Astyanax mexicanus: one gene and its partners. The protein of the gene in region 3 purifies or fractionates together with the protein of the main gene of each other region. This does not show direct contact. Links are inferred from orthologs where the notes say so. Each region holds a gene or a part of one and is shown on either strand. Other genes may lie near its edges. The genes, in order: cd2bp2, zgpat, prpf4 and sart3.

Region 1 (7,996 bases), on a different chromosome or scaffold from region 3:
GTCATCACACACGGAGAGGAGAAGGAGGAGTAAAGACGGGATGAAAGGAACAGCGCGGAGAACAGGAAGATGAAGCGATGACCCGCCGTCCCTCACTGCTCTGTCCTGCCAGTCTGTCCTCTGTCCCTCTTTTCTTTCCTTTCCTTTCTTTTGTTAATCACCAGCACTTGTTCCCTCTGTGTCTCCTCTTCACACACTCCTCCAGAAAAGACTCGTCTCCTAGAGACTCCAAGAAGAAGAGCGGAGAGGCTAATGTCTGTGGTGTCCGTCAGTGGGGAAAACGGGGTTGTTTTCAATAAAATGTTACAATCTTTTAACATCATCTCCATTTCTCCTTCTAGCTCTCTCTCTGTCTCTCTCTCTTGCTCACCACTCATTTCTCCTCTTTCCAACCTTTTCTACCTTCATACCTCTACACTCACTGTTAGGTGTCTCTTTCCAGCCTAGGCTGCAACAGCTAATTAGGTAGATCTGAAAGAGTTTGTTGTGCTCGTATTCTTATGTTCTCGCTCTGGGGAATGCAAAACCAAATGGAGGGATCTCTTTCTACAATAGAGGAATCCAGAGACCCCCGTGTTGTGCTCCAGACCCTGGTGCTCTTCCTTCAGCAGTAGAAAACAAATCTAAAACATCAAAACGCATGAGGATAAGAAAAGGAATGGCACCATGAGAAAGCTCCGCCTCCTAAAAGTGATGGCAGACTTTTCACTGAGGGAGAAAGAGAGAAAGATGAAAACCCTGAAGAGGAATGGAGAGCGGCGACAGAAAGAACCCATTTCCGTCTTCTCTCCCCCTCTCCACTCCTCTGTTCCCCATGTATTTTGTGCTGTCCTCACCTGGGCTTCGCTTTGCTCTGTCACCAACTCTTCTGTAACCAATAAAAAGAGAGAATCTGTGAATAAAGCAATCTTATCTTTCGTACCTCTGCGTCTGTCCATACTGGCTAATTTACAGGGAGTAGCGGCTGAGGTCTGTTGATTAGGTATGAAGTATTGGGTGAGGAGATCTGAAGAACAACTGCAGTATCTCCATCCACGTTTATAGACATTTCCAGACTTTACAAATCCAAAAATGCCAGCTCAAGCTGGTCAAGCTGATTGACCAATTTAGTTCTTGACCAGCACAGAGTATTTTTTTGTTTGGGTTTGATGGTTTAGCTGGTTAATGGCCAATAACTTGACCAGTATGACTGAAGTTGATCAACCATCATGACAAGCAGAACCAAGCATGACCATAATTGAATGCATCATTCACTATGCCACTCACAAGCTGGTTAATTTAGGGTATGTTTCCCCTGGAGGAACAGCTTTCAAACACCATCTCAGACCATCTGAAACCAGCTACCAGCAAATGCAGGTCTGCATTTGTAGCATGGTGTTTCTGGGAGAGGTGCAGCGAAAGTACAATAAACCTGGTGAAACAGAAACAAAGTGAGAACATACCACCCTGAAACAAGCTGAGCAAGGATTCCGGAAACACTTCTTTTATTTACAATAAAACTCTGGTCATTTGGAGTAACAGATCAGACCATTAACTTTAGTCAATTGTAACAAAAGTAACACATTGCAACAGACTGCAAAATAAAGTCAGTGGATATTATATAGAAATATTTCCAGCAACAGCTAAAATTCATGCATTTCCACAGAATTAATTTTGCAACATGTTGCATGACTTCATTTTAAGATGGCAACGCCCAGAAAACTACATCACTGTACTGTGTGTACAAACAGTGTTTTTTTTTATTAAACAATCAGTGCCCTTTTTTTGAAGTCTCAATGCTTACTTTTAAATAACAGGGCCATCAGAATTTTATTAATCAAGTTTTGAGCTAATTTGAGCTTGTTAATGGTGCAAAAATAGCGATTTCTTTATCTGGCCAACACTGTTACCCTATTGCTAACATTGTAAGCCTAAAAGTGCTGTATTTCGAAATGCTGGAGAGAATGGAGGTGGAATATTCAACAAAAAAGTTTGTACTTGTTATCATGTTTCATTACACCCCTAGTCAATTTTACACCAGATTTCTCCTTTAAGTCTGAGACATATAAGTCAAGCCCCTTTGAATACAATTTGTCACAAGATCTTAGTAGTGAGGGTGTGGCCCACAGAGCTCAGAGACTTTGCTTGTCAAATTGGCAGTAATCACAGTTTTTACATTTTATGGCAGATCCATAGAGTCATATCAGAGAATTTCAGAGCGCAAAATACCCACTGTAACAGGTTTGTTTGACTCCCAAGTGAAAAAGTTATGTGTTCATACAGACCGCATATAAGTCTATGGTCCATCGCAGCTCAAAAAAATGGTTATAGTTAATGTTCTTAGAACGTTCAATCTGTCAAGTTTTCAGAATGTTCTTAGAACATTTTTTTTTATTTAAATGTTCTGGTAACATCGCTGCAAACTTGTGTCAGCATTTTTAGTTTTAGGAATGTTTCTTTAAATTTTTCCATATTGTTAGTAGTTTCTCTAGCCACACCCAGGCTTGATTACCACCATACTCACCATTCTCAATTAAGAAATCACTTAAATAGAACCTGTCTGACAAAGTGAAGTAGACCAAAATATACTCAAAAGCTACACATCATGCCGTGATCCAAATAAATTCAGGAACAATTGAGAAAGTAATTGAGATCTATCAGTCTGTAAAAGTTCATAAAGCCATTTTCAAAGTTTTGGGACTCCAGTGAACCACAGTGGGAACCGTTATCCACAAATGGCAAAAACGTGGAACAGTGGTGAACCTTTCCACAAGTGCCAGCCAGCCAAAATTACTGCAAGAGTGCAGCGACAACTCATGCAAGAGGTCACATAAAGACCCCACAACAACATCCAAAGAACTGCAGACCTTATCTAAATATTATTTATTCTAGTTGTATTCTATTTTTCACATTTTATTAAGAATAAAGTAAGTTACAGAGACTCCTCCTAAACTCTTAATATGAGTAATAATGAGTTAAATGAAAAAAAAAAAGAATTATAGCTAAAAGAAACAGTGAAATATTAGGAAAAAAATGCCAGTTAGTAATGCCATTAGTGTGATTTTTATTTCAAAATAAAAGATGTAACTATGCAGCATATCTATGCAGTAACACCAGACTGAGACTGCCCCTGGAACTGCAAGTGTCTTTTAATTTTGTATTACTTATTTGGCATTTGTATTTTAATATCATAAACCATAATCACTGTAGAATATTGCAGTTTTATTTGTAGAGAAACGTGTTATTTACCTCAGAATATGACACTCAGCCTTCTCACATCACTGTCTGTGGGAGAGAGCACTGCTGTGGAGGAGAATATTATATAATTGATTAAATGTGTGGCTCAATAAGTGGTTATTCTTAAAATAACGTTTTAATTATGTTAAAATATAAATAGCTTTTCTACAGAAGCACTTACTGTTTCTACATCAAATAACACCGTGTATAATTTATACAAACTGACCTCTAGACTTCGCGATTTTAAAAGTGATCTGAGGTAAAATGCTTCCGCCCAGTGGTGGCTGGCGTGTACTGCAGCTTTGTGAAATAGCTCCAGTCCATTAGACCACTGCAGTCCTGTGTCATTCTGTACTGTAATCCTCGTATGCCCAGATTCGGGGTTCTGTGTCTAAAGGGTTTTTGCCTATGAGAAATAAGAATGAGCTTTTCAAAAACTCCTCTCTATCAAATTCTGTAGTAAATAATTGAATTTTTAATATAATAGACAAAAAAATCACTCCTGTTAATGGCACTCATTCCTGTTACTGGAACTCGCTCCTGTTACTTTCATTCCTGTCACTCAAAACATAAAAAGTAACAGGAATGAAAGTAAAAGGACTGAGTTTTTGGCATAGAATTAGCAAAAACATGAAAAATAGCTAAATGGCGGCTATGCTAATAGCATTTGGACACTAAGCACATTCTAGTGATTTTCCCAAAATATAAAATTTAAAATATAATTCATGTCATGTTGTAAATTCTGGAATGCAACATAACGAAACTGGAATGAAGCAAAACATTCAACATTCAAAACAAATGGATGAAGCAGGATTTAACCTGATTAAACACAATGTACTGACAGTCTTGTCTGTCTGTTCTGTGGAACAACAAGATGATCTATCAATAAATAACTGAGTAAACAGTAAAATAATAAAGGTGAAAAAATGTCCAATTTCTTGCAGTAAGGCTCTCTTAAACAGTAGTGTATGTTGTACTGCTAAAACTGATTTACGATTCACAGGAAAAAGTGCAGAATTTTTAAATAATTTTTCAATCTGACACCAAAACATTAGCATTGAGTAAACCCTTACAGAGTAAACTGAAAGATCTAATCATTTAGACTGTCTTGTTTGTAATCAATGACTAAAGAAATGTTCATTCTGTCTCTAACATGCTCACTGATATAAATACTTACCTCTGGGTCATGAACTGAGTGAAATTAAATCATTAGCTGCTTATCTATTATGTGTGACTGTTTGTACAAACTGTTTTGAGAAATGGCCACACTGTGGTGCAAATATTAATTCTGAAGAACTGCATCAAAAAGCTGTAAACTGTAATCTAAACCCTATACAGCTCTGGAAAAAAAATAAGAGACCACCTAATGATGATGTTTTTCTTTGATTTTACCAAATTGAAAACCTCTGGAATATAATCAAGAGGAAGATGGATGATCACAAGCCATCAAAACAAGCTGAACTGCTTGAATTTTTGCACCAGGAGTGACATAAAGTTATCCAAAAGCAGTGTTTAAGACTGGTGAAGAAGAACATGACATGATGCACGAAAAATGTGATTTTCTGCGAAGAAAAAATGCTCAAAATGACAATATTTTCATTTGGAATTTGGGAGAAATGTTGTCCGTGGTTTATAAAATTAAACCACAATGTTCATTTTACTCAAATCTATATACCTAGCAAAATCATAGAAACTGATTCAGAAGTTTCAGAGCTGTATAACAGTGTAAGTGGTGGTTGCGCGGTGTCTCCAGCAGGCGGCGCTGTGATAAACGGCTCTCAGCTGAAGGAGGCGGTGTTTCCGTCCTGCAGTTGAATGGCGCAGAGGGAAAATCAGCCACAGCATAAAGGTAAACAGCTCGATTTCTCCACTATAAACATCAGATTTACCCTCCGCTTTAACAAACGAGGGACCTGCACACTGCTGAAATGTGTTTACTGTCCGCAGACCACAACTTCTAAATTGTGACTTCTAAAAAGTCTAAATATCCTCTAATCCTGCAAACACAGGCCACTCAGTGACTGTAGCTTAGCATAGGCTGCTAATCACTCACACACTTACCTACACTCTCATTACTGATCTTATTAATATCAGCACTGAAAACAATGACGTTACTGCAAACTGTTACAGCGTACAGAGAGAGTGTCTACCTGTAACAATACAGCTAGATATATAATCCATATATCTAATAAACCCAATACATATAAAGTTAGTTGATTGTGACAATGTCTTTCTGTAATAAACTCATTAAAACATTAGAATAAACCCAAATAAACATAAAGCAAGTGAACAGTAAGAGAGTCTACATGTAAAACTCTGTATAATATTAGAATACTAAACCCAAATAAACATAAAGTCAGTGAGTGTGTCTACCTGTAAAACTCTATATAACATAAGAATAAACCCAAATAAACAAAGGCAGTGGTCATTATAAGTTTCTATCTATAATTATCTATATATAACATTAGAATATACCTAAATAAACAGTCAGTATTTAGTGAGTGTCTACCTGTAAATAAAATTATATAACATTAAAAAAACTCAAATAAACATAAAGTCAGTGGTCAGTGAGAGTGTCTACCTGTAAATAAAACTATATAACAATAGAATAAACTCAGATAAACATAAAGTCTGTGAACAGTGACCTGTAATTAACTCTATATATAGTATTAGAGTAAACTCAATAAACATAGTCAGTGTTCATTAGAATATCTACCTGTAATTAAATCTATATAGTATTAGAGTCAACCTAAGAAACATAAAGTCAGTGATCAGACACTGTATGGACTTGTATGGAGTTTCTCCAGCAACTCATCTGATTTACTTTAATGAAGGACTAGTTAGATAAACAAGGGGTTGGATAGAAACTGGGAATACAGCAATCTTTGTATTGATTATTAATGTATTTTGTCTAATGTTACTGTATTATGTGTATAACATACTCTTGAAATCTCTCTTAAACTTTATTCCAGAATGTCAAAAAGAAAAGTCACATTTGAGGATGGAGATGGAGAGTTCAGTTTGGATGATGAAGTTCCAAAGAAGAAGGTATGTTTATACTTGTCCATCAATCCTGTATGAAATGGCAACAGTTCGACAAGTAAATCAGACGAATCATCTAAGCAAATCATCACCCTCTTTAAGTTGTATATTGAGGTCTGTTTGTAGTTGCTGATCGTCTTTTGCCATCTGTATGCATTTATTTATGGGATAAAGAATGGTTGGGATAGACTTGTGTAAAAAGAAGGCAGGGCTAAATGTTGTAGGCTTAGTAGGCAGATACACAGTATATGTGAATACAGTGAAGGAAATAATTATTTGATCAATTGCTGATTTCGTAAGTTCGTAAGCCCACTGATAAATACATGAACGGTCTATAATTTTAACAGTAAAAGATAGAATATAAATAAAAAATAAAATCCAGAAATCACATTATACAAATGTATTTGCATTTTGCAGAGAGAAATAAGTATTTGATCCCTCTGGCAAACAAGACTTAATACTTGGTGGCAAAACACTTGTTGGCAAGCACAGCAGTCAGACATTTTTTGTAGTTATTGATGAAGTTTGCACACATGTCAGGAGGAATTTTAGTCCCGTCCTCTTTGCGGATCATCTCTAAATTATTAAGATTTTGATGCTGTTGCTTGGCAAATTGGAGCTTCAGCTCCCTCCATAAGTTTTCTTTGGAATTGGCTAGGGCACTCCATGACCTTGTTGCCTTGGCTGTATGTTTTGGGTCATTGTTGGGCTGCAAGACCCAGCCATGGCCTATGAATCATCCACAGGTGCCTTCTTGACCAGTGGGACTTTTCGGGCACTGCAACATTACAGCATAATGTTTTACCAATGGTATTGTTGGTGACTGTGATCCCTGCTGCCTTGAAATCATTAACAAGTTCCCCCGTGTAGTTTTAGGCTGATTTTTCACCATCCTCCTGAATACCACACAAGGTGAGATTTTGCTTGGAGCCCCGAACAATGTCGATTGACTATTGCACCAATAGCTGTCTCGTTCTCACCCATCATCTTACTTAAGGTATTGTAGCTCATTCCAGCCATGTGCAGGGCTATGATCTTGTCCCTGACATCCTTAGGAAGCTCTTTGGTCTTGCTCATGTTGTAGAGGTTAGAATCTGACTGATTTATTGAGTGTGTGGACAGTAGTAGTCTGTAGGGGTAGAAGTCACATTTAACAGCCACAAAGTGTACATATAATCTAATTGATACTCTGTCTGTTTTTGTGCAGATGTATGATGAGGTGAGTGGTCCAGGCTCCAGGTTCAAGGAGAAACACTCTCTGGACAGTGATGAGGAAGACGAGGGTGATGAGGCAGAAAATGGCGACAAATATAATATTCTCGCCAGTGATGATGTTGAAGGTAGGTGTTGTGCCTGTCAGGGTGTGTCCACTCTCTCTCTTAATATGTTCTCTTTTTCACGTGTGTTTACTGGTGTGTCAGTGTGGGAAGTGAGCTGAGGACATACTGTCATAATTCTATTCAGACACTTGTTGGGTGTTGTACAGATTCTAATTACTTCCTCTACTACTACTAACTGTAATAATAAAAAAGTAACTTTATAATGGGAGATCAATAATTCTCTTGATTCTAAGTGCATATATGAATCATATCTTAACTGCAATGCTTAAAATATAGAAGAAGCAATAAATTAGGAGGTGTTTTGATACTTGTGTTCATGTAGTGTATAATCTTATGCTCTATTGACTACCCCAAGTTGTGAACAGACAAAGACGTTCCAGAAGTGCCACAGTTGATAG
Region 2 (6,915 bases), on a different chromosome or scaffold from region 3:
TTTCAACTTCAAATTTTCCTGGGGGATTCTCCACACAGACTTAAAGAAACAAACCTTTAGCATAACCTGTTTCACATTCCTCAGAGTCATCTTCCGAGTCAGAGGAGGAAGAGGAGGACTCATCCGGTCGCAAAGGGGGAATAACACTATCAGCCTCAAGGACAGCTTCCTTTAGCAGCAAGGAATCAAATTTAACCGTGTAGAAGCCATCCTCGATCTCTGTGAATGTGTATTTAAGTAAAAAAAAAAATTAAAAGAATAAAAACAAATTTATACAGAAAAATTAAGCATGAAACTGCCATGTTCATCATTGACGTTGAAATAAATCTTGACAGAACGGCTGAGGAGGTGTACCTGTGATTTTGGCAGGATACCAGATGCCGTCTTCATGCTTGGCCAAACACGAAGATCCTGCCTGCATTTGTGTGAGATCTGCTTCAAGAAATTCCCTCAGCTCGGACACACATACCACCTCCCCATGGGAGTACCTGAGTGACAACAAACAAAAAGACAGGCAGAGGCGGCTTATTATTTCCATATTACCCAGAGATGGCTGAAATGTCAATCACAAAACCAATCCAGTACAATAACACATGCAAATATGCTTCCACCTGAATGAATCTAAATTCTGTGCAAAATACCCAATGAAAAACAAAACACCAACAGATTGGTGCCATTTCCAATCTCAGGGTTATATAAACTAAAAATGAAAAACTCAAACTAATAATTAAACTTAATTAAAAAAATAAGGTTTTCATACCTGCAGCTATCCATAAAGCGGCACTTGCCATCCAGAAAGAAAGGGCAGGGCTTTATAGACTTGTGTGTAGGATAGAGGTAAAGGACTCTCACTCGAGCCTCATCCCCATCTGGTTCCTCTGAGCACACTACCATGGCATTGTGGTACTCAAGTGTTCCCCAAGAGGTGCGATAAGGTGCTCGTACTTTAGTACCACTCATGTAGTCATCTTCTTCTTCCTCCTCCTCCTCCTCATCATCCACTTCCTCTTCATCATCATCAGGCCCGCGGCTTTGTGCTACCTCCGCAGCACTTTCAGAAAGTCCAGAATAAAAGGCTGCAAACTCATCATCCAAATTGTTATTCTTCTTGGACAGTTCTTGGGTTTCTGCTGGCGCTTCCTGCTTTGTTTGGGAATCCTCAATTGAGGCAAAAAGTTGGCTCTTCTTGACTGAAATCAAGCTGGATTCAGTGAGCTCAATAAGTTGTACAAGATCCTCCTTTAACTTCAGCAGGTCTGCCTGCTCTGAAGCACCCAGACCACAAGCAAGTGCAGCTTCTACCTGCTGAAGCTGAGCATTGTAGGTCTCAATGGCTTGTTGCAGGTTGCCTTCATCCATGGTAGGGAGCTATGAAAGGAGGTGCCTGCAGATAAAGAGGAATAAGAGAATAATGCAGTAAAAGCTTTTATATAACATTTTTATTCTGTAATTGACTTGGGTATAAGAGAAAACAAGTTGTATATGTTATGCAAAGTGTAATTATGGTTATGAGACAGAAAGGCAGATTTAATCCTTTATGCCATTAATTGTATTCTTAGGGAGAAAATATATCATTTGTGAAAGCATGGAAGTCCCTGTGGATATAACAAACTTAAATTTAGATTTAGAATTATGATGACAAGCTATTCATTTGAATCAGGAGTTTTAGAGCAAGGAAGCTCCCAAAACATGCAGGCGAGAAGGTGGTCTGTAGGACCAGAGAAAAGAACCACTGCTACATCAAGCTTAATCTAACTAATGTGGTACAACTTAAAAAGGCAACAAAAACAGTTTACAAAAACAGTAAGAATATAAACAGCCAATTATATATTTTTGCACATATTAATACAGCTTGCAAAAAATTCTGAGTTTATTTGATTCTTAAACCAAGCTGAACTGCTTGAATTTTTGCAACCAGGAGTGGAAAAAAGCTTTCCAAAAGCAGTGTGTAAGACTGGTGGAGGAGAACATGCCAAGATGCATAAAAACTGTGATTAATAACCAGGGGTATTCCACCAAATATTGATTTCTGGACTTTTATGAAAATAAACGTTTTTTTTTTTTTTGCATTATTTGAGGTCTGAAATCTCTGCATCTTTTTTGTTATTCGAGCCATTTCTCATTTTCTGCAAATAAATGCTCTAAATGACATTATTTTTATTAGGAATTTGGGAGAAAAGTTGTCTGTAGTTTATAGAATAAAACAACAGTGTTTATTTTACTCAAACGTTTACCTATAGATCCAAGATCAGAGAAACTGACGTGGTCTCTTACAGACAAATTAAACAGGGGATAGGGATAAGGATAGATATAAAGAACAAGGAAAGGGAGAGAGTGGGTGGGTAGATAAGTAGATAGACAGATATTAACGATACATGAATGGATGGAAAAACAAAAAATGTGGTTTGTTGCCTATGGGCAGCACTATGTCCTTGATAGTTAAGTACATGTATCTCATTCAAAACGTAGTATTTGTTTTATTAGCTAGATAGTCTCGCCAAAATATTACAGAATAACATTTTTACTGACGAGCTTCTGCCTTCTGACCTTCTCCACAAATCAAGCTAACTAACTACCTAACCAGCTCACTTCCTTCAATAAAACCACTCTAGCTAATAATTAGAGTAACCAACTACATGACTGGTGGAACAAAAGTGTTTTTTTAAATCTAAAATTAACTAAGAATATCTGTGGAAGTCGCCATATAACTACCTCAACACAGTGAGCTAGCTAAACCTAGCAAGCTAATAACAAACCCGGCTTGTAGCTAGCTAGCATTTGGCTGTCTAGCAGTTAGCTTAGCTAAGATAATAGTAGCTGTTTAACAGCCTGGTGAGTTTAGTCTTCATTAAAAGATATTAAATAAGAAGTAAAAAAACACTCAGTATTTATATCTTACGTTACATAGTGTTCACGTCCGAGCGAATAAACTCTGCTGCGTTTCTGTAGTTTAAAGCTGCCCTGTGCGGCTCTGTAGCAGCCAGGGTTGCCAAGTCCAACGAAAATATGCAGCCCTAACTCAGTCTTAAACCCGCCCTTCAGAAGCTTAAACTAGCCCAAAATATGTCTGTTACACGTTTGAAGTAAATGACAAAAAACAATACGTGTACGACTTTTGTACACTTTGAGTATTTTGTTCATAAGGGATTTATTATTAGTATTGCTATTTACCTAAAAGTCATTAATAATATTGTAACATTAGTAACATTTAATAGTAACATAATTAGCAAAAAATGACTTTTACTGTTCTTGCCCCTCCTGAACTCTCTTCTCTCCTCTTTAATATTTTATTTTCATCGCCCTGTGATATCTTTTTTTTTTTTGTTAATTTTTTTTTTTTTTGGCGGCTGCGCTATTTTTTTAAGTAGCCCCCCCCCCCCCAAAAAAAATGCACCCCGCCACCCCTAAAATTTCAAAAGAGAAAAGATTTTTAAAACAAGCCAAATTTGGAGGAAAAAACGCGAACCTGGCAACTCTGACCGCCCACAGAGACACTACCTCAGCGACGTCACTCACATGCTCTGTGAACCTGAACCTTGGGGATATAATATGCTTTTTTCATACATTTACCTAGATATAGAGTATATTATTAATATCTTTATTTGTTCTGCTGAGAGTTGTAATGCTGTGGAGACAAATGAAACTTAAAAAAAAAGCAGAAACATGAACAGCAGGATTGGACAAAGGAATAATGATTTAAACCATGTATTTGAGGTAATGCAAAAATACTCCCTTTGAACCATTCATTACGTAACAAAAAGTACAATGTACTTGCCTTGACTATAGAAAGATATTATGGCTTTTTAATATCCTGTCTTTTTTTTTTTTACCAGACTCAATTGCTTAATCTACTCATTTTACATGAAAATAACCCTTATCTTAACTCTAAAAATAACAATTGCCTTTAATATAATGTCATTAATTATTTGGACACTAGTATCTATTAAAATATTCTAAACATAACACAAACAATTTTCATTAGATAAACTTATTGAGTTTATATTAAATAAATAAAAACTTGTATAAAACAGGCAAATAAATACATTTTACTTTATTGTACTGCTTTACTTATTCAAATAATGTATACAGGCATAGCCTAATTACATTACAGTAAATTACATTAATTTACTTTACATAACTATCCAGCACAGGTTCAGAAAGTTTCAATGTGCCTTGTCACAGTTAATATTATCCACAAATGGGAAACGAGACAAGAAATAAGTACAAATATATATTTTAATATAAATTTGAAAAAACACAAATACCATTGTTTTTATTAAAATAGTTAAGATAGCATAAATCATACATAATTTTTCATCTTTGGTCAATGAAACATTACATAAACAACCAAAACAAATCCTGCTTTTTTTTGTCATTCTGATAGAGAAAGAGTTCACTTAATCCTAATTAATCTGCATATCGGATGGTATTTCTACTTTTAACCAAACAAATCAGTATGTCTGGCTGGATTCCCCTGGTCAGGAGAAGAAGGATGATATCTTGCTCTGTGATTTTCCTGCTGAGAGTTGTGATGCTGTGGAGACAAATGAAACAAGACTAAATCAATATTGCATTATACTTCCACTATTAAATATATTTTAAAATATAATGACAGAATGAAGAATGAAAGAAATCAATGTTTTGTTTTTCAAAAAGCTGAATCTACTGCAGAACATGTGAGGTTTGGACTTGAAATGAATAATGATTTCTTCATGAAAATCAATAAGGATTAACAAATACATGTTGTGCTTATCCATGGAATCTGTGTAAATATCATCTGAGCCCATATTTATTAAAGTCCTACGAGTACGAATGCTGATATAGGACTCGACCATAATCTTAAACAGTAGTGCTTAAAGGACTTTCTGATCTTAGGCTGTGATGTATGTTAAATGCAGGCCCTGAATTCTACCTGGAACTGGGTGACTGGAAGCTTCTTCTGATTCTTCACAGGTCACTGAAGCACTGCCAGTCAAAGACTTTAACATCTCAGAGAACTGCTGACTGTGGTGTGGCGGGATGAACACAGATAACCCTAAACAAAAAAAGAAAAAAAAAAGAAAATCATCAGCAAAAGTAGCAGTTAAGTTTTCATATTTCTCTACTTATTTATAATAAGTATGTTTCTTATAAATAAATATTATATTTATTTATAATATTATAAGAAACAGCAAAATGTTTTCCTGGGTATGGGATTAAAACTCACGTCTTAAAAGGACAATGTCTTCGTCCCGCTCTGTCAGCAATCCCACAACTGTTGATACCATCTGCTCATAATTATTTGTTTTCTTGTACGTCTGCAACGCTATAAATAGTTGATTGGTTTTTTCAGAACCAATAGCTTTTTTAATGTCGGACAGAAGGGTAGCGCTGAACTGGCCATCTTTTCCTGACGTCTGTGGCTTCTGTGGTTTCTGATCCTTCACTGCACCCACTGTAAATGGAGAAAAATAGAGCAAATACCACATTAGAAGTACCATTAGACCTTAAGAGGTTGAAAATTGAGGACACAACACTTATTCCAGCAAACTAGTTTATTATTTATATGTGTGTGGGTCATTATTTGTGTTTTTTGGCATATACTTTTAATCTTCTAACTATTTATCATATTTATAAGACTTCAGACTACACAGAAACCCACCTCTGCCACTTTTTTATTTTTACTTGCATGTATTCATGTGTTTGTTCACCCTGTCATGGCAAGCTGCATGACAGGGGTGGACAATTTAAATAATAGAATTAATTTAATGAAAGCATGGTTGACTCAAAGCTGAGGATACACTTATTTTGATTCAAAAGATACAAAGATTTGCTGAACATTCAGAAAGTATCTTCAGTCCCTTTATTAAAATTAAATTAAAAATTAAACAGTGTGAGGGTTGTGATCACGCGGATGTCAGTGGTTAACTTCTTTTTTTGTAATTCTTTATTTTTTGAAGTGTGTCCTTCCAAGAATTGACATTTACAATGTACAATTTTTCTTTTGTTATCACTTCTGATATTAAAATTATCACATTTTATTTATGCCTTCAATATAAAAAAAGTATACAGAACAAGGAACTATTAACACGGAGGATGCCTTAAATCACTGTGCAATAAAAATGAAGTAAAACCGATGAGAAAGGAATAAAATATATGTTTTCTTGGTAGTAGTTAGTCTGTTTGTGTTTCAGTGAAATCTGGTCTTTCATTCTTTATGTAAATTGTCTATTTTGACAATAGTTTTGTACATTTTCACATCTGCAGCCTTATGGCAACTTTTTTTTTTCCAAAAAAAATTTACATTACATATACTGCATTGACCATATTAATCCATTACTGGGGAGTGGTTAATGTTTCTTCTTTAATGAAAAAGCTAAATAAATAATTGTCTAAACTGTCTAAATTACTATATATTATATATCTTTAAAACTTTTAGAAAACATACTTATATTACAAAAACGTATTTTATTTTTGAGTGTATTGTTACCAGAGTTTGTATGAATTATTCTACTGACACAAAACGCATGTTATATTAATACGGACCCTAATCTAAAAATAAACAAGATCTCACCAACATAGGTTCAACTATTTTGACCAACATTAGCATTTTTTGCGACATTAGTCTGTAAAAGGACTGAACGATATAGACGGAACAATAGCATTGCAATATTTGTGTTCATTTTTTTATTTTTTAACATAGTGCATGAGTAGCAAAGCTTAAGACAGATTTTGGGTACATACCACCACACAAATTGTGTGTTCCCAAATGAGAGCCGCCTTGATTCAGTTGTTTGCTCGAGTCTAGTTCTTTGATTGTGGCTTTTTCAGTAGTTTCCGCTTTTACTGTAAAAAAAAAAAAAAGAAAAAAAAAAAGAAGAAGTAGTAGCCATCGGTTCACATCAGTTTTACACGTTTTTTTTGCTGGTTTTATGT
Region 3 (7,321 bases):
GCCCAGTAAATTGCTGTTTGTGTTTTCACACTTAGGCTATTTGCTTAAAAAAACAAACAAAAAAAACGTTTGTTCAGGAAGTATTTTATATTCTTAAACATTGTTAATTATATTAGAGGACAGTCATTGTAAACTGTACTTGGTCTATTTCGGTTAAAGGATTGTGCAGGGCATATTACTGATTTTGTATTTTTGCACTTGGGCTATAAGCTCAATATTAAATATTTCGTTTGTTTAGAAATTATTTTATATTTTTAAACCATGTTAAATTATATTAGAGTAGAGGAAAGTCATTGTTAATGACGTTATTGTACTTGGTCTATTTCGGTTTAAGCATTGTGCAGGGCATATTACTGATTTTGTATTTTTGCACTTGGGCTATAAGCTCAATATTAAATATTTCGTTTGCTTAGAAATTATTTTATATTTTTAAACCATTTTAAATTATATTAGATAAGAGGAAATTCGTTCAGACATCATTTTTGTAGGCCAGGCTTTTGTAACCGATTTAGCCCCTACTGTTGCCACATTACCCCTTACGTTTTATTATATAAATCAGTTTCGAAGAGCCTGCATTTTTTTTTATCATGTATAATAGAGGTCTGTGCGAGACTGATTTTTAAACCCACTCTTCCACGCTCCCGCGTTTCTGTCTCGTTACCGCTCCGCAAAAAAATTGCTTCTTTTAATCCCGCGCCCGCCCGCCACATACACATTTCTGCCGCTCCCGCCCCACGTTCCTAATATAAATTAAATAAACTACATTTAATGCTTAAAATTTACTTTATTTATTAATTTGCTCCCGCATCGTCTGGATTAAACTCCCGCTCCAGCCAATAACAGTTCAGTTCTGTCCCGCGCGCAAGATATTCTGACGGGACCCGCGAGAACAGAAGTGGTTAGAGTGAGGTGGAACTCTGGAAAGGAGGAAAAAAACGAATATCCGAATACCAAAATTAAAAACCGAATACCTACTCAACGAACGAATATCCGAATACCCGAATATTCGGGTCCAGCCCTAGTTTGCTGGGCAGAAGATTTTCTAGTGTTTTATTTGTTTTACACACACACACACACGTACAAAAGAATGTTCACATTTCCATATATATATACATAAAAAGTGAATATTAACTACACAAAATAGTTACACAGAAAACTAACAAACAAAGAAATAATAATCTAGTGTGTCCTAGACACCTCATCACCTCTATTCAATCCTGATTTTCCCTTGCACAACTTCCTCCACTGTTCAATTTAATAGTTAGGATTTACTGTCTTTAATATTAGTTAGATAATGTTTTGTTCACTCGTTTTTTAAACTGTGTTTTGCTATCAGTTTTAGTTAATGATTCTGGTAAATAATTCCACTCTTTAATAGCTCTATAAATTACTGTTTTGCACATGTAGTTAGTTTTAGCTTTTGGTAATCTGAAATAATGTTTGGTTGAATATCTGTGGTATTGGTTTCTCTCTCTATTACTTGCTCTAATTGATGATAAAAATCCACTGGATGTTGTTGCTCTTGTGTATTCTTTATGAATCTCATACCTTTTAAACTATAAAACATTTTACCACAGTGTCTCCATCTTAAAACATTATAGTGAGTTAATGAGTTACATTTAAATAAATATTTTCAAGCAGCTCTGCAAGGTCTTACCACTGGAGATGTTAATATTTCCAGCCTCAATTCCAGCTTTAATAGCATCTTTCCCAGAGCCTGAGGATCCCTCACGGCCAAGACGCTCCCTCTCCTTTTCTTCAAGACTTCCATAGAAGATCCGAGACCTTTTTACCAGAGGGGCTTCATCTTCATCAGACATCTTTCAAGGGGCTCAACTGAGTTCAGCACCACCTGTTTGAAAGAAAAAAGGTTTTAAAAGGTTTAAACTGGGTTTAACTTACAGGGGCTCCATAAGAATGAATGTTCTATTTTATGCCAACCATCAATATTCACTAACTAGCAGCTCTGCGCTTGCGCTGATTCACTTTTTCCATTTTTATTGTGTTTCATGATAATTCTGTTTTCCATTGGTGTTATACAATCTAAACTCACTCTTATTGTTTAAGTGTTAATTGAGATTTTAATATAAATTATGAAAAAACTATGTCATTATCCTATATATTTACAGTGATCCAAACATCTATCCACATATCCTACCTAGACTTGTCGACTACTTGTCTTACCAGCTGTTCTATATAAGCAGCTTTATTAACAGAGTTAAATACTCTTTATAACGTATTGGAGCACCCAATCACATTAAACAATAAATAAGTATTATAAATAACTATACAGTAGTAATATATTTAATAATTATCAAAATAGTTATAGAGAATATGAATAATCTTAACAGAATAAAGTATTTTAGATAAATAAATGCCCTATCTTACAGGGACTAAACAAATTGGCAATGCACAAAGAATGAATATGAAAATGAAGTCTAATGTCCATCAGGTGTTTATGTTTATATGTGCAATGTTTTACAAAATAAATGTTTTTTTTTATATATTGGATAAACAACCTAAGCTCGCTCACTATAATAATAATAATAATAACAATAACAATAATAATAATAATAATAATTAACAACTAAAATTTTATTGTCTTGAATCTTCCTTGATACAGTGATTTAGGCTACCACAATAACTACTTTACCTACACTGCCGGCTGCATGTTCTAACATGGTGCTTTTTGTATTTTTACCTTTAAATAAACCCTAGAGTAGCACGTTTTTACAAGATAGCACAACTCAAACGAACACAGGCGCTACAGCTACAGTAACGTTACTAAAAAGGCACCAGTGCAGACAATTCAAGACCAAATCAGCACCAACCTGCCCGAGAAAACACTTTAATCCAGCTGTTTTTGAGTTTACGAGCCCTTCTACTGAAACTACACAGCGTCCAGGAAACGAAGAGGCTTTTTACAGCTTATTTAAATCAGAATCTGAAGTAAAGTTGTGGTTCATAGTCCCACACTGCCCACTCCGACACAACCACCACGATCTGAGCGGCGCGCAGGAACTCGTCACAGCTTTGAACGGAGAAAAGCAGCGCTGCTCGCCGCAGCGACATCTACCTACCGGAGACTGGATCTGGAGGACTGAAGCGGGGATTTTATAAATATGTTTTCAGCTTTCAGATCTCAAATATGGCAAAGAAAACAAGTTTATAAGGTTTTAAGTTTAGAAATCAATAGCGGATGGAAAACCCCGAAAATCTTATAATTTTAATAAATAAAATTTAAATAATTTAAATAAATATTATATAAAAAAAAATCTTGGCATGTTCTTCTTCACCAGTCTTACACACTGATTTTGGATAACTTTATGTCACTGCTGGTGCTAAATTGCAAGCCGTTCAGCTTGGTTTGATGGCTTTTTAAGTGGTCTTTTATTATGCCAAAATGCATGAAAACTGTGATTAAAAACTTTTTATTTCTAAACTCTTAAAACTTTATTATTATGAACATCTTTGCATTATTTTGCATTATATAATAATATTATTATTAATAATAATAATAATAATAATAATAATAATAATAATAATAATAATAATAATAGTAGGAAAATAAAAATGTTAAAAGGAAAATAAAAATGTTAATGTAATGTTATTATATTCTAGCCTTTATGGAAAAAAAAATACAAAACGGAACTACATTTCCCAGAAACCCTTAGCTAGAGTAGTTACCAACTTCCGGCAGACAAGGCAACAACCGCCAACTTGCTTGCTTGGCGTTAAATGTATATATCGATATTTATACTCTAAATTCGATATTAAGTCGGGGCTGTTCTCGACACTGCTAACGCTAGCTATATAACAGCTATAGATCCAGTAGTAAACGCCTTTATGGGTAAATAACGTGCTGTTAGAAACACAGCAGCATTATCATACTGGACCTGTTTACTATATTAAGCTAGCTTTAACTTAGCTCTTTAAAAAGTCATTTCTCCATAATATTTTGTTGAAAATGACGTTTTTTCTGCTGTCTCGGTGACAGCTTATAACCAGCGCTGTGCTGAACCGTGGTTTTACAGCGGAAACAGCTGTGAAATATCGATAAACAGTGTATTTCAGTTCTATACATAGCTGTTAACTGCAGTATTAGCTACCCAGCCTCCTAAAATCATGCTTCGCCGAAAACCAACACGACTGGAGCTGAAGCTGGACGATACCGAGGAGTTTGAAGGAGTGAAGAAGGAGCTTGAGGTCAGTTAATCAACTCTATTAATTAATTAAAGGTCTCATTCCATCGTTTTTTAATAAATTGTAAAATGTCTGGTTGTGGCCTATAGTATGAATGAATGCCACGTGAGCTGGTTTTGAGAAAAAAAGTGCTCCGGTGATCTGTTATAACCATGCTTTAGTCCTGTGGAGGCGCTGAACGGAGAAACGATAGGATTTTATGAATATTCATACATGCAAACATATCGCCTTTAATTGGCTAACAGCACTGCGAGACCAGGAGGCGGACAACAGTTAGAAACGTTTTAAAATAAAAACATTTTTACTCTAATAACAGTCTTTGCAATGTCATATGTTACTTTACAACATGTATAATGCCGTGCTAAGTGCAGTTCAGCCACTGACCCACCAGAGAGCCTATGTAAACCTACGTAAACAAACAGAGGTGGGTAGTCCAGGTCCAGAAAGTAACAATCCACCCCGCAGCAGAGAGGAAGTTGAAGCAAGTGTAAACAGAACTGTTATAAAAATACACCTACCTATCTCAATTGTACTTTGCTGGTAATGTTCCATAGACAAATTCTAACCATTTGTTCCTTAGCTCTGAATTACTGGGCAAAGCATATAACACTGATGTGATATTTGCACAAATAACACAGGAACAAACTGCAATGCTGTTTCTAGCTCTGTTACGTCCTATCTGACGAGATTGATGTAGACATGGGTGCTTTTCCTGATCGACTCGTTTTTCTGAATATTTTCTTTTATTAGCTACTACAGATGGAGGTTGAGGAAGAGTTTCTTGTGCAGCATGCATATACAACTCAGAGAGACCTATTGTATTTCACCAAAAACTAGAAAAAGTGGATTTTAGAGGAAGGAGACCTAACCTAACCTAACTATTTGAAATTGCTGGTTTGGAAAAAAACTTTATATTATTATTATATATGAATCTGATACACACTTCAGAAGATAGCACATTTTGTCTGAACCTACCCATTTTTCTTTTCATCCTGAGAGGGTATAAATATGTGTTCGTCCATTGGCCTAATGCTGGACATAAAAGTAACACATTCTAAAAGTTTTTTTTTGCTTCTACAGCTCTGTTTTAACAGTTTAAGAATAAAAATGCTTTAAAGTTTTTTACATTCCATATCACTAGTTCTGGCCTGGTTTCTAGAACAAACTGTCAAAACTGCAGGTTATGAAATTGTTGGCGTCATTTACGTTAAATCAATGTTTTAGCCCTAAAATATTTACATATATATGATATGATCTGGATATATATAATAATATTAAAAATATCAGCTGAGATAACTACTATAAAATTTGGCATAAACCATTCTGAAAATCCCTGATAGCAAAAACAATCATTAAATAAACATTTATTTAACATTGCCTAAAGGGCTAATCGGATAATGTTGAAATTCTGACAATGAAATTTTATGTAAATCAATAGAAACACATGACTAGTCAAAATTACACTTGGATTTGTTGACCTGATATGACTAGTCAGAATGTCTGGATTTATAGGATATGTCTGGATATATAACACAACTAAAATGTTGGTAGGACTTGTGGCATTTTAAGCTAAAATGATTTGTGATAAATGTCTGTCTCAGATACTGTAAAGTCACTTTACATTATTTATTTTTTTATTTTTTATCGTTTTTAGAGTCGGAAGAAACAGCGAGATGAAGTGGATGTGGTTGGAGTTCCAACATCAAGTGAGATGAGCGGTGCTTCAGGAGGTGCTGAGGGCAAGACCAGAGAGCAGATGATCCACGAGCGAATCGGATACAAACCTCACCCAAAGCCAAACACTCTACCATCATTATTTGGAAACCTTCAGTTTTGAGCGGAGGACTGTGTAAAGTGTGCAACAGTGCCATTATGACTTTAAAGTAACCTGTTTTGCTATGGGCTGAGAAGAGGATCAAAGTCATAACCACTGCATTTTAAGGACTAACCAGGCAAAGTTGTTTCCTTGCTTATTTTTGCAAGCATTCTCTTATTTGTTAGAGATCAATAAAATCTCCCTCTATTTTCTAAAATGTCATCTGCTTTTTTTTATTTTTTTTTTTTATAAAACTTAAAAGTACACATAATCTGTTCTGATCTATCAGGCTTTTTCATATCTTAATCTATTCTGATTTATCAGGTTTTAAATACAAGACAGGGAATCAGAAGTCACATCATGCTTTTAATCACATTTCATTATCATTTATATAATTAATTACAGTACTGTATTTCAGACTATGCAGGTATGTTTGACCTGTAAACATTATAACATTGATTCTACACTTGAGACAAACAGATTTATACCAGATACTGTTCTGATTACATTACTTTAGAATATCCCAGTTATTCGATGATGATGTAAACATAGGTTTAGTCACTTCTATTCAGTCTTTATCTGCTTACTGACACATATTAATAACCACACTCTTAAAACGAAAGGCGCTTCAAATGATTTTGTGCATTGGTTTAAGAAAACAATAATGGTTTCTTAAAAATGTTTTTCACACGAGTGTCCTTTTGAAAGATGCAGGCTTGGCATTGACCCTTGCTCTTGCAAGTAGCAAAGATAGTGACACTCTTTATCGTATTACAATTTACAAGTGAGTAGAGCATTTTAATTATGTTTATGCTGATTTAAGGATATTTTTTAGTAAATATCGAACATAATGTTGCCTTCAAAGGTTACGCATATTGACACATCCCCATTATAAAACCAAAAGTGGTTCTTCAATGCCAGCTGAATCACTTTTTATTTAAGAGTTCATTATTAAAAAAAAGAGTTACCTAAAATACATTGTTGGTTAGTGCTATTTTCTGGAGGCTGGTACAAACACAATGTGTTCTTTATCTTGAGGAATTACAAAATTAATTTTTATTTTAGCTACAATAAATCAACACAACAGCATTCTTCATTCACATTTGCTATTAAACATCCTTTCATGTATAATAACTGACTATATATATATTTGTTTCTTCTTCATTGTGCCTGTTTTCTCAATGACAAGGCAGATGCTTCTTTGTTGACTTCATTGACTGGCATTTGTTAAGTCCAAAATAAACAAAAAGGCACACTCCATCAGTGAGGAGCGAGAAGTAAAAACAACACAAAAAATCTAGT
Region 4 (7,646 bases), on a different chromosome or scaffold from region 3:
TACTCTGAAGCATTTAGGTGCTCCTATCTGGGGTGCTGTTTACTTGTGGTTCCTGAGGCTGGTAATTCTGATGAACTTATCCTGGGCAACAGATGAATCTTATGCTCTTCCTTTCCAGGGGTGGTCCTGATGAGAGCCAGTTTCATCAAAGTTTTTGATGGTTGTTGCAACTTGGCCCCTTTTTTGTCATCACTTTTTACGTGGATACACAGGATGTCAGGATACACAGGCTGCTGTTTTTAGGAACATATTATAATAGTTGTTTTTAGCTAGCAGAGTTGGTACTAATGGTATGTGGGTTATATAGCTTACAGTTTTGCACTGAAGCCTATTTTTAGTGCACACAAATTTGTTTTTGAGGTGTGTGAAATTTATGATAGTTTGAAATGTTGTGTAAGATAGAACAAAAATCACAGAAGTCTGTGTTAGTGTTTGGCCACAATATTGAAAAAAGCTGACATTGTAAAATAAAAATGGGCTTTAATTTAGGTTTATGAGTTACTCTACCGTTAGGAGTAGACATAAATCACATTAATAAATGTGCAGACGCGCGGAGCTCACCGCTAAGCAGCGCTTATCGATGGGCATCACAGCTGGAACACCGGTACAGAACATAAACAACAACATTGCGTAACGGGAGAGGAGAAGCGCTGGATTCATGTCTCACTTTCCCGCCTGTTTAACCTCCTACTAAAGAGCTCATGTAGCGAATAGAGCTGGAAATAATAAATTAATGTTCTGCTTTCTAACAACTGCTTTAATTAAACTTTAAAACCAGGAAATATCTGTTTATTCACGCCCACGGTCACGGCGCGCATTTTAACCAGGAGGCAATACAACGTGCGCTTCACAAAAACAGGACAGAACCTGGCAACCCCAGCTATATAACCTATCTAACTAACCAAATAACACAGATAAACATCAGCTAACCTGCTAACTAACAACAGATAGACGCGTCTAACATAAGCGAGCTCTCAGAAAACCCTCCATTAATTAATAAATAAACGCAGACCCCTGAGGACAACATTAGCTAGCTGAGCTAACCCACGCAGCTGCAGCTAACTACTGTTTAACTCGGTTCAGTTCTCTCCAGACCCAAAGCACAGCTTAAATAAAGCCTAAAAGGGTTCTGATAGAGGAGATAAGAGAGACAGCTAGCTGTGTGTCCGGCTAACTGTCCAGAGAGTGTAAAAATGTGACACTTTACATCATTTTGGAAAACTGCGCACCCCAAAGCTAAGCTAACGTTAGCCAGTTAGCTTGTATTTGGTAGTAAAGTTTGAATCAGCTTACTGAACCGATTCTTTCAAACGGTTCCCTTGAACTGAACGTTGAACATACGTTCAGAGTTTTTACACTGTACATTTAGTATTAAAGATAAAGCTATACAGGATTTATCTTTTTAAACAAAACAGGATATGTTTTTATGTTGGTTTCTTCTAGGTATACAGATCTGCACACTCATGGTATTTAACTCTCTCTAAAAGGTGTCTTCATAAGGTAGTCACCTGGAATAGTTTTCTCAGCATCTAGTAAATCTATAGAAAATAAGAATATAATTGGAAAGTTACTCTATTTCATTAACTCAGTTTAAAAAATGTGAAACTCATAGATTATGTAAATGCATTAACCACAGAGTGATCCATTTTAAAATTTCATTTCTTTTATTGTTGATGATTATGGCTTACAGCTAATAAAACCCAGAAAATCAGTGTCTCAGTAAATTAGAATGTTACATAAGACTAATTGGTACTTTTGGCACTGTGGTAAGTGCCAAGTCCTGCTAGAAAATGAAATAAAAAAAAATAAAGTTGTCAGCAGAGGGAAGCATGAAGTGCTGTAAGTTTTTTCAGGAAAAAACTGCACTGACTTGGAACTTGATATAACACAGTGGGTCAACACCAGCAGATGACATGACTCTCCAAACCATCACTGATCATCAGTAAATTTTACATTTCATTTGTAAATCAAGAAATCAGAGTCTGGAGGAAGAGTGGAGAGACACACAGTCCAAACTGCTTGAGGTCTAGTGTGAAGTTTCCACCAATCAGTGATTGTTTGGAGAGTAATGTCATCTGCTGGTGTTGGTCCACTATATATGTTATATCACACTTTTTTCTAGGAAGACTTCTGCTCTGTTCTGTTCTGTTGTGCTATGCATAAATATCTGCACGTTACTGGCTCAGCGCATGTGCATTTGTGTGTTTATCATGCGAAATAATTTTTTGTACACCTATTGTAAAAAAATGTGCTTGAGTGTAATGAAATTCTAAAATGTGACTGAACCCTTTCAGATCTGAATTATGTTCCAATTCTGGAAAAATAAGGCTAAATGAAGGCTGTTTTCTTTCTGTAATGCACACAACATATATTAATCTTACTAATATTACTATTCTAATATAAAATATATTTTTAATGAATCCAAAAAACTTACTTTTTAATTCCTAAACATGATATAAAGTATTCTGAACCATAAAAATTTGTAAAATTTAGCTTGTATTACTTACATGGCACACTTGGCACATTTTAATCTACTATATCTGCTGGTTTAGGAGGTAGATTGTAAATTCTAATTCTTCTAATTCTAAATAATACACACTATAATAGCAGTTTGACAAGGGGCACACATTGACAGAACACTAATGAATCGGTTAATGATTCTAACTCATTGAACGAACTGAACCTGTTCAAATGAACCGATTCCTGAAGGAGGCGGACACCGTTAGCCTCCGCTAGCTTAGCTGCGTGTGTTCCTCCATTCATTCTCAGTTACGGAGCTGTTAGACTTAAAGCCCACCTGCTCCTCCAGCCGCTGAATCTCCGCTTCGTTTTCCCGCTCGTCCTCGGACGTGTCACCCTCGTCCTCCTCGTCGGAATTCTCCACACCCATGCCCTCCTCGTCCTCGGACTCCATCTCCCGCTCCATCTCCTCGGCCTCTTCCTCCTCCTCCTCAATATCTGGCAATAACGTCTCCGCTTCGTTCCCAGTTGCCGCCATGTTGCGAGTGATCTGCCTGGTAACAGAGTTATGTGTGTTTCGCTTCCCCGCCCACATTCCGCACAAGCCCTGCCCTCTGCGCGCTACGATTGGCCAGTGAACCGCGAGCCTGCGCTATGATTGGCTTGTATTTCATACACACAAGTACCCCTGTGAGTATCAGAGAGTATGAACTGTTAGCCAATTATAGCGCAGAAGGCGTGGTCAAGTAAACCAATAGAAGCCGAAGGGGCGGGATTTGTACAGCATAAGGTGGGAATTTTAACAGCGCCTGTTTTCAGGTCAGGGCTCGTGAACAAACATTCGCAGCTCGTTTCCCGCCAAGCGGAGGAGAAAAAGAAATTTATTTTTAATTATTTGTTTCTGACAGCAGTTTGTTGAACATTTTAACTTGATATTGCGCTATTCCACCCAATGGCTGCAATTTGCTTGTTGTAACTCTTCCAAATTAAACTTAGTTTTTTTATCCTTTTTCAACTATGAATCTAATAACACATATGTCTAAGCTTGTAAATGGTGGTTACAAAACTCATGTAAGCTTAAAATGCATGTTTAAAAGCAAGTCCACTGTTTCCTTTCATTTCCTCTCAAGAAAGTTTTTATTTTAAAGAAATGGTTGACTGCATGTCTAATAATTGATATTTATGACAAAAAAAATCACTCCTGTTACTTTTTGTGTTTTTAACAACAGGTATAAAATTAAGAAGAATGAGCTTTTAGCATAGAATTTGCAAAAACATGAAAAAAGCATGAGGAAATTGAGCACATTGAGTGATTTTCCCAAAAATTGTATTTTAAAAATAAATAAGATTTAAGAATTAATTTAGATTACAGGACAGAGTGTTGAGAGTGGCCCCCTCAGTCAATAGTTACAATAAGATCAAATACACAAAAAATATTAATTTTTGTCTTCCCATGGTCTTCAGATGAACCAACTGATGTCACTTCATGTTGTAGATGTGAATTGTAGAATGTTCCAGATGTTTCAGATGGGGTAATGTGTTACGGTAACTCAGGCACACAACTAAAATGTGTATTTTAACTTAAATATAATGAATCTATTGTGGAAAAAAAATTAAAGCATATTTATTACATCTCTGAAGGAATTTGGTCAGTGTACAAGACATTATGCTCAATAATAAAATGTATTTTAAAGTAAAGTTTTTCCTGTGCACATTTATACATGTAATTTCCTGGGGAAAGAAATGTCACAGATTTGGCGGAATATGACATATACACTTTATCTTTTTTTGTTGTTTTATATGTTCTATTTACTTTATATATTATTCAGTTTTTTTCATGTATGAATATGTATCTGACAAATATACTTTAAAGGAGTAATGCCAGAATAGACCCATTGTTTGTTTCTACAATTACATGGCATTAGCGTGAAGTCAGGGTCACATGTCAACCATCTAAATGTTTAACCACTTCTGCTCATATATTTAAAGAAACTGTTTGCCAGATTTTTTTTTTCACAATTTTATGTTTTTTAGTTTAGGATACACAAATAGAATGACTGTAAGAACTGTGGGCAGGACGCTTTGCATAACTGTACCCTCATGGATGTTTTTATTTTATTTTTTCCTTTTTATGTCAACCAATTCTGTGCGGTTTCTGATTCTTCCTGTTGAAATAACCAAATAAAAATAAATAAACAGCCCAGGAATTAGGCGCCATACAGACCAGCCAATCAGAAAAGAACAATTTGCATATATCAGTCTTAAAGACCAAGTAGCACAATCTGAGACTTAGTTGTAGAAGATGCAAGGTTGGAAAATGACATGTACAAATACATTTCAACTGTTTTCGCTACACAAACTAACAGATATATACAGCAAAATAGAGAAAAAAAGAAATCAGGAAATTGGCCATAAGTTCACTGATGTTTGGGATTAGTAGTTTTGCCTGCAGGACGACAGAAGAAAAAGTGTTTTTTACTTCATGAACTAATTCTGGCATGGCTGTATTTCTAAAACCACAGTGAAATAGCCATTTTACCATCTCTTGAAAATAAATTCCTCAAATGGAATGGACTTTGAATAGAAATCCATCCAGCAAATTTGAGAAAAGCTGATTAAAATATATACCAGACCTAACTAATAATGATGTGTGAATAAAGCTGTTACATTGTAAATAGTCCTGCAGTTACAGGGCACCATTTGCTTATTCTATTGTATATGTGAAAATCTTTAACAGCAGCAACATTAGCAGAGCATTACTACCTTGTTGTTCAGCCTCGCTGCTCTTTTTCCCCTAAAAAAAATAAACTGGACTGTAAATGAAGTTAAGCAGAGTTTACAGGAGACAAACAAACTATTATGTATTTAGGACGGGTATGTTACTTTCATTTTAAGTATTTTTTTATCATATAAGTAGGTAAACCTGTAAAACTGTTATCAAACATTCCTCCCACATTCTCTATTACCTGGTCTAATTTAAATAGCTAAAAGTGGAAAGTTCCTCAGAACTCAGAATGTATTTTTCAGACCTCTGCTCACACTGGACAGTAAAATCCCATCATTTCACTTTACTTTTCTCACCTGTACCTTCTTTTTTCTTTGGTAAAGCAATCCAATATTAATATATAGTTGCAAGAAAAAGTATGTGAACCCTTTGGGATTACTTGGATCTCTGCATAAATTGGTCATTAAATGTGTTCTGTTCTTCATCTAAATCAGAACAATAGACAAACACAGTCTGCTTAAACCAATACCATACACATAAATATATGTTTGCATGTTTTTTTAACACAACATGTTAACATTCACAGTGAGGGAGGGACAAAGTATGTGAACCCCTAGGCTAATGACTTTTCTAAGAGCTAATTGGAGGCAGGATGTGATGAGATTGGATGTGTTGGTTAAAGATGACCTGTCCTATAAAAACCAATGCCAGTTTAGAGTGTGCTGCTCTTAAGAAGTATTGCTTGATGTGAATCATGCTTCACACAAAAGAGCTCTCAAAAGACCTACGTTCAAGAATTGATGACTTGCATGAAGCTCGAAAGGGTCACTAAATTATCTCTAAAAGCCTTGATGTTTATGTTTCCACGGTAATACAAACGCTCTACAAATGGAAAAAGTTCAGCACTGTTGCTACTCTCTCTAGGCGTGTTTGTCCTGTAAAGATGACTGCAAGAGCACAGCGCAGAATGATCAATGAGGTGAGGAAGAATCTTAGAGTGTCAGCTAAAGACTCTCTGAAATCTCTGGCACATGCTAACATTTCTGTTGACAGATCTACAATAAAGAAAACAGGACACCACAGAGGAAGCCACTGCTGTCCAAAAAAACAATACTGCACGTTTGAAGTTTGCAATTGAGCACCTGGATGTTCTACACAGCAGTACTGGCTAAATAAACTGTGGACAGATGAAACCAAAACTGAGTTGTTTGGAAGGAACACACAGCGCTATGTGTATAAAAATGCACAACACACCATCATCAAAACCTCATCCCAACTGTGAAACATGGTGGAGGGGGTATTATGTTTTGGGGCTGCTTTGCTGCTTCAGGGCCTGGACGGATTGCCGTCATCAACAAAAAAATGAATTCCCAAGTTTTCCAATACATTTTGCAGGAAAACTTAAGATCTATCCTCCAACTGAAGCTCAACAGAGGATGGATGATGCAACAGGACAACGACCCAAAACCGAATTAAATCAACAACTGAACGGCTTCAACAGAAGAAAATCCGCCTTCTGGAGAGTCCTGTCCTCCTGAACCCAATTGAGATGCTGTGGCATCATGGCCTCAAGAGAGCGATTCACACCAGATATCCCAAGAATATTATAGCTGAACTGAAACAGTTTTGTAAAGAGGAATTCCTCCTGACTGCAGGTCTGATCTGCAGCTACAGGAAACGTTTTTTTTAGGTTTTTGCTGCCAAAGGCGGATCAACCATTTATTAAATCCAAAGGTTCACATACTTTTTTCACCCTGCACTGTGAATGTTAACATGTTGTTTTCAATAAAACCATGCAAACATATATTGTTTGTGTAGTATTAGTTTAGGCAGACTGTGTTTGTCTATTGCTGTGACTTAGATAAAGATCACAACACATTTGATAATTAATTAATTTAGAAATCCAAGTGATCTCAAAGGGTTCACATACTTTTTCTTGCAACTGTATACATGGCTGATTAACTTGCCACACACAGGACATATTAGGACTGGGGCATAAGTTGTCTCATCATATCTCTATTATTCTGAAACATTAATTATCTGATAAACATACATACGGTATTAGTCTAGCACCTCACCTTTAATATAAACAAACAGACCCACCAATAGCACCACAGCTAACCCTATTCGCTCTGGTTTGAGGAGTTGACAGTGGTTGCAGTCTGCACCATTAGCTTATCACATTAAAAAAAATGTCAGAAAATAACACTGGGTTATTGTCCTTTTTAACATTGATTGTGTGGGTTTGTATTTTTGGTTTCGAATAAGCATTACCTAGGAGAGACACATTGGAATTTCTGGGTCTCTGAGTCCATCTCTCCTGAAAGTAAGACAAAAACAATTCCAAATCTGGTTTATGGTCTTGAGATCAAGGACAGACTGGAGTACTACAACACTAGTATTTTTTAGTGGCTGAAATTGCTAACAACTAATAATAACCCAGATAAACACTTATTTCTAG

The links.
Region 1: the proteins of prpf4 (region 3) and cd2bp2 purify together in Homo sapiens (affinity purification with mass spectrometry; 3 studies listed by BioGRID and IntAct, with this or other methods). This does not show direct contact. The link is inferred for Astyanax mexicanus from reciprocal best matches to the Homo sapiens genes PRPF4 and CD2BP2.
Region 2: the proteins of prpf4 (region 3) and zgpat purify together in Homo sapiens (affinity purification with mass spectrometry; 4 studies listed by BioGRID and IntAct, counting the BioPlex papers as one, with this or other methods). This does not show direct contact. The link is inferred for Astyanax mexicanus from reciprocal best matches to the Homo sapiens genes PRPF4 and ZGPAT.
Region 4: the proteins of prpf4 (region 3) and sart3 purify together in Homo sapiens (affinity purification with mass spectrometry; 5 studies listed by BioGRID and IntAct, counting the BioPlex papers as one, with this or other methods). This does not show direct contact. The link is inferred for Astyanax mexicanus from reciprocal best matches to the Homo sapiens genes PRPF4 and SART3.

The regions. Positions count from the first base shown.
Region 1 is NC_064426.1:15,180,424-15,188,419, forward strand, and holds the start of cd2bp2 (CD2 antigen cytoplasmic tail-binding protein 2), read left to right. Parts: upstream 1-4,983; 5' UTR 4,984-5,065; intron 5,066-6,188; 5' UTR 6,189-6,189; coding exon 6,190-6,264; intron 6,265-7,465; coding exon 7,466-7,598; intron 7,599-7,996. Other genes in the region: mylpfa (myosin regulatory light chain 2, skeletal muscle), read left to right, coding at 1-33. UniProt on the Homo sapiens protein: Involved in pre-mRNA splicing as component of the U5 snRNP complex that is involved in spliceosome assembly.
Region 2 is NC_064423.1:17,420,626-17,427,540, reverse strand, and holds the start of zgpat (zinc finger CCCH-type with G patch domain-containing protein), read right to left. Parts: upstream 3,005-6,915; 5' UTR 2,900-3,004; intron 1,385-2,899; 5' UTR 1,360-1,384; coding exon 761-1,359; intron 489-760; coding exon 355-488; intron 220-354; coding exon 55-219; intron 1-54. Other genes in the region: rtel1 (regulator of telomere elongation helicase 1), read right to left, coding at 4,479-4,534, 4,913-5,035, 5,207-5,434, 6,724-6,825. UniProt on the Homo sapiens protein: Transcription repressor that specifically binds the 5'-GGAG[GA]A[GA]A-3' consensus sequence. Represses transcription by recruiting the chromatin multiprotein complex NuRD to target promoters.
Region 3 is NC_064408.1:18,604,139-18,611,459, reverse strand, and holds the start of prpf4 (U4/U6 small nuclear ribonucleoprotein Prp4), read right to left. Parts: upstream 3,022-7,321; 5' UTR 2,832-3,021; intron 1,853-2,831; 5' UTR 1,821-1,852; coding exon 1,658-1,820; intron 1-1,657. Other genes in the region: anaphase-promoting complex subunit CDC26, read left to right, coding at 4,126-4,206, 5,858-6,040. UniProt on the Homo sapiens protein: Plays a role in pre-mRNA splicing as component of the U4/U6-U5 tri-snRNP complex that is involved in spliceosome assembly, and as component of the precatalytic spliceosome (spliceosome B complex).
Region 4 is NC_064429.1:3,642,180-3,649,825, reverse strand, and holds the start of sart3 (squamous cell carcinoma antigen recognized by T-cells 3), read right to left. Parts: upstream 3,011-7,646; 5' UTR 2,999-3,010; coding exon 2,798-2,998; intron 1-2,797. UniProt on the Homo sapiens protein: U6 snRNP-binding protein that functions as a recycling factor of the splicing machinery. Promotes the initial reassembly of U4 and U6 snRNPs following their ejection from the spliceosome during its maturation.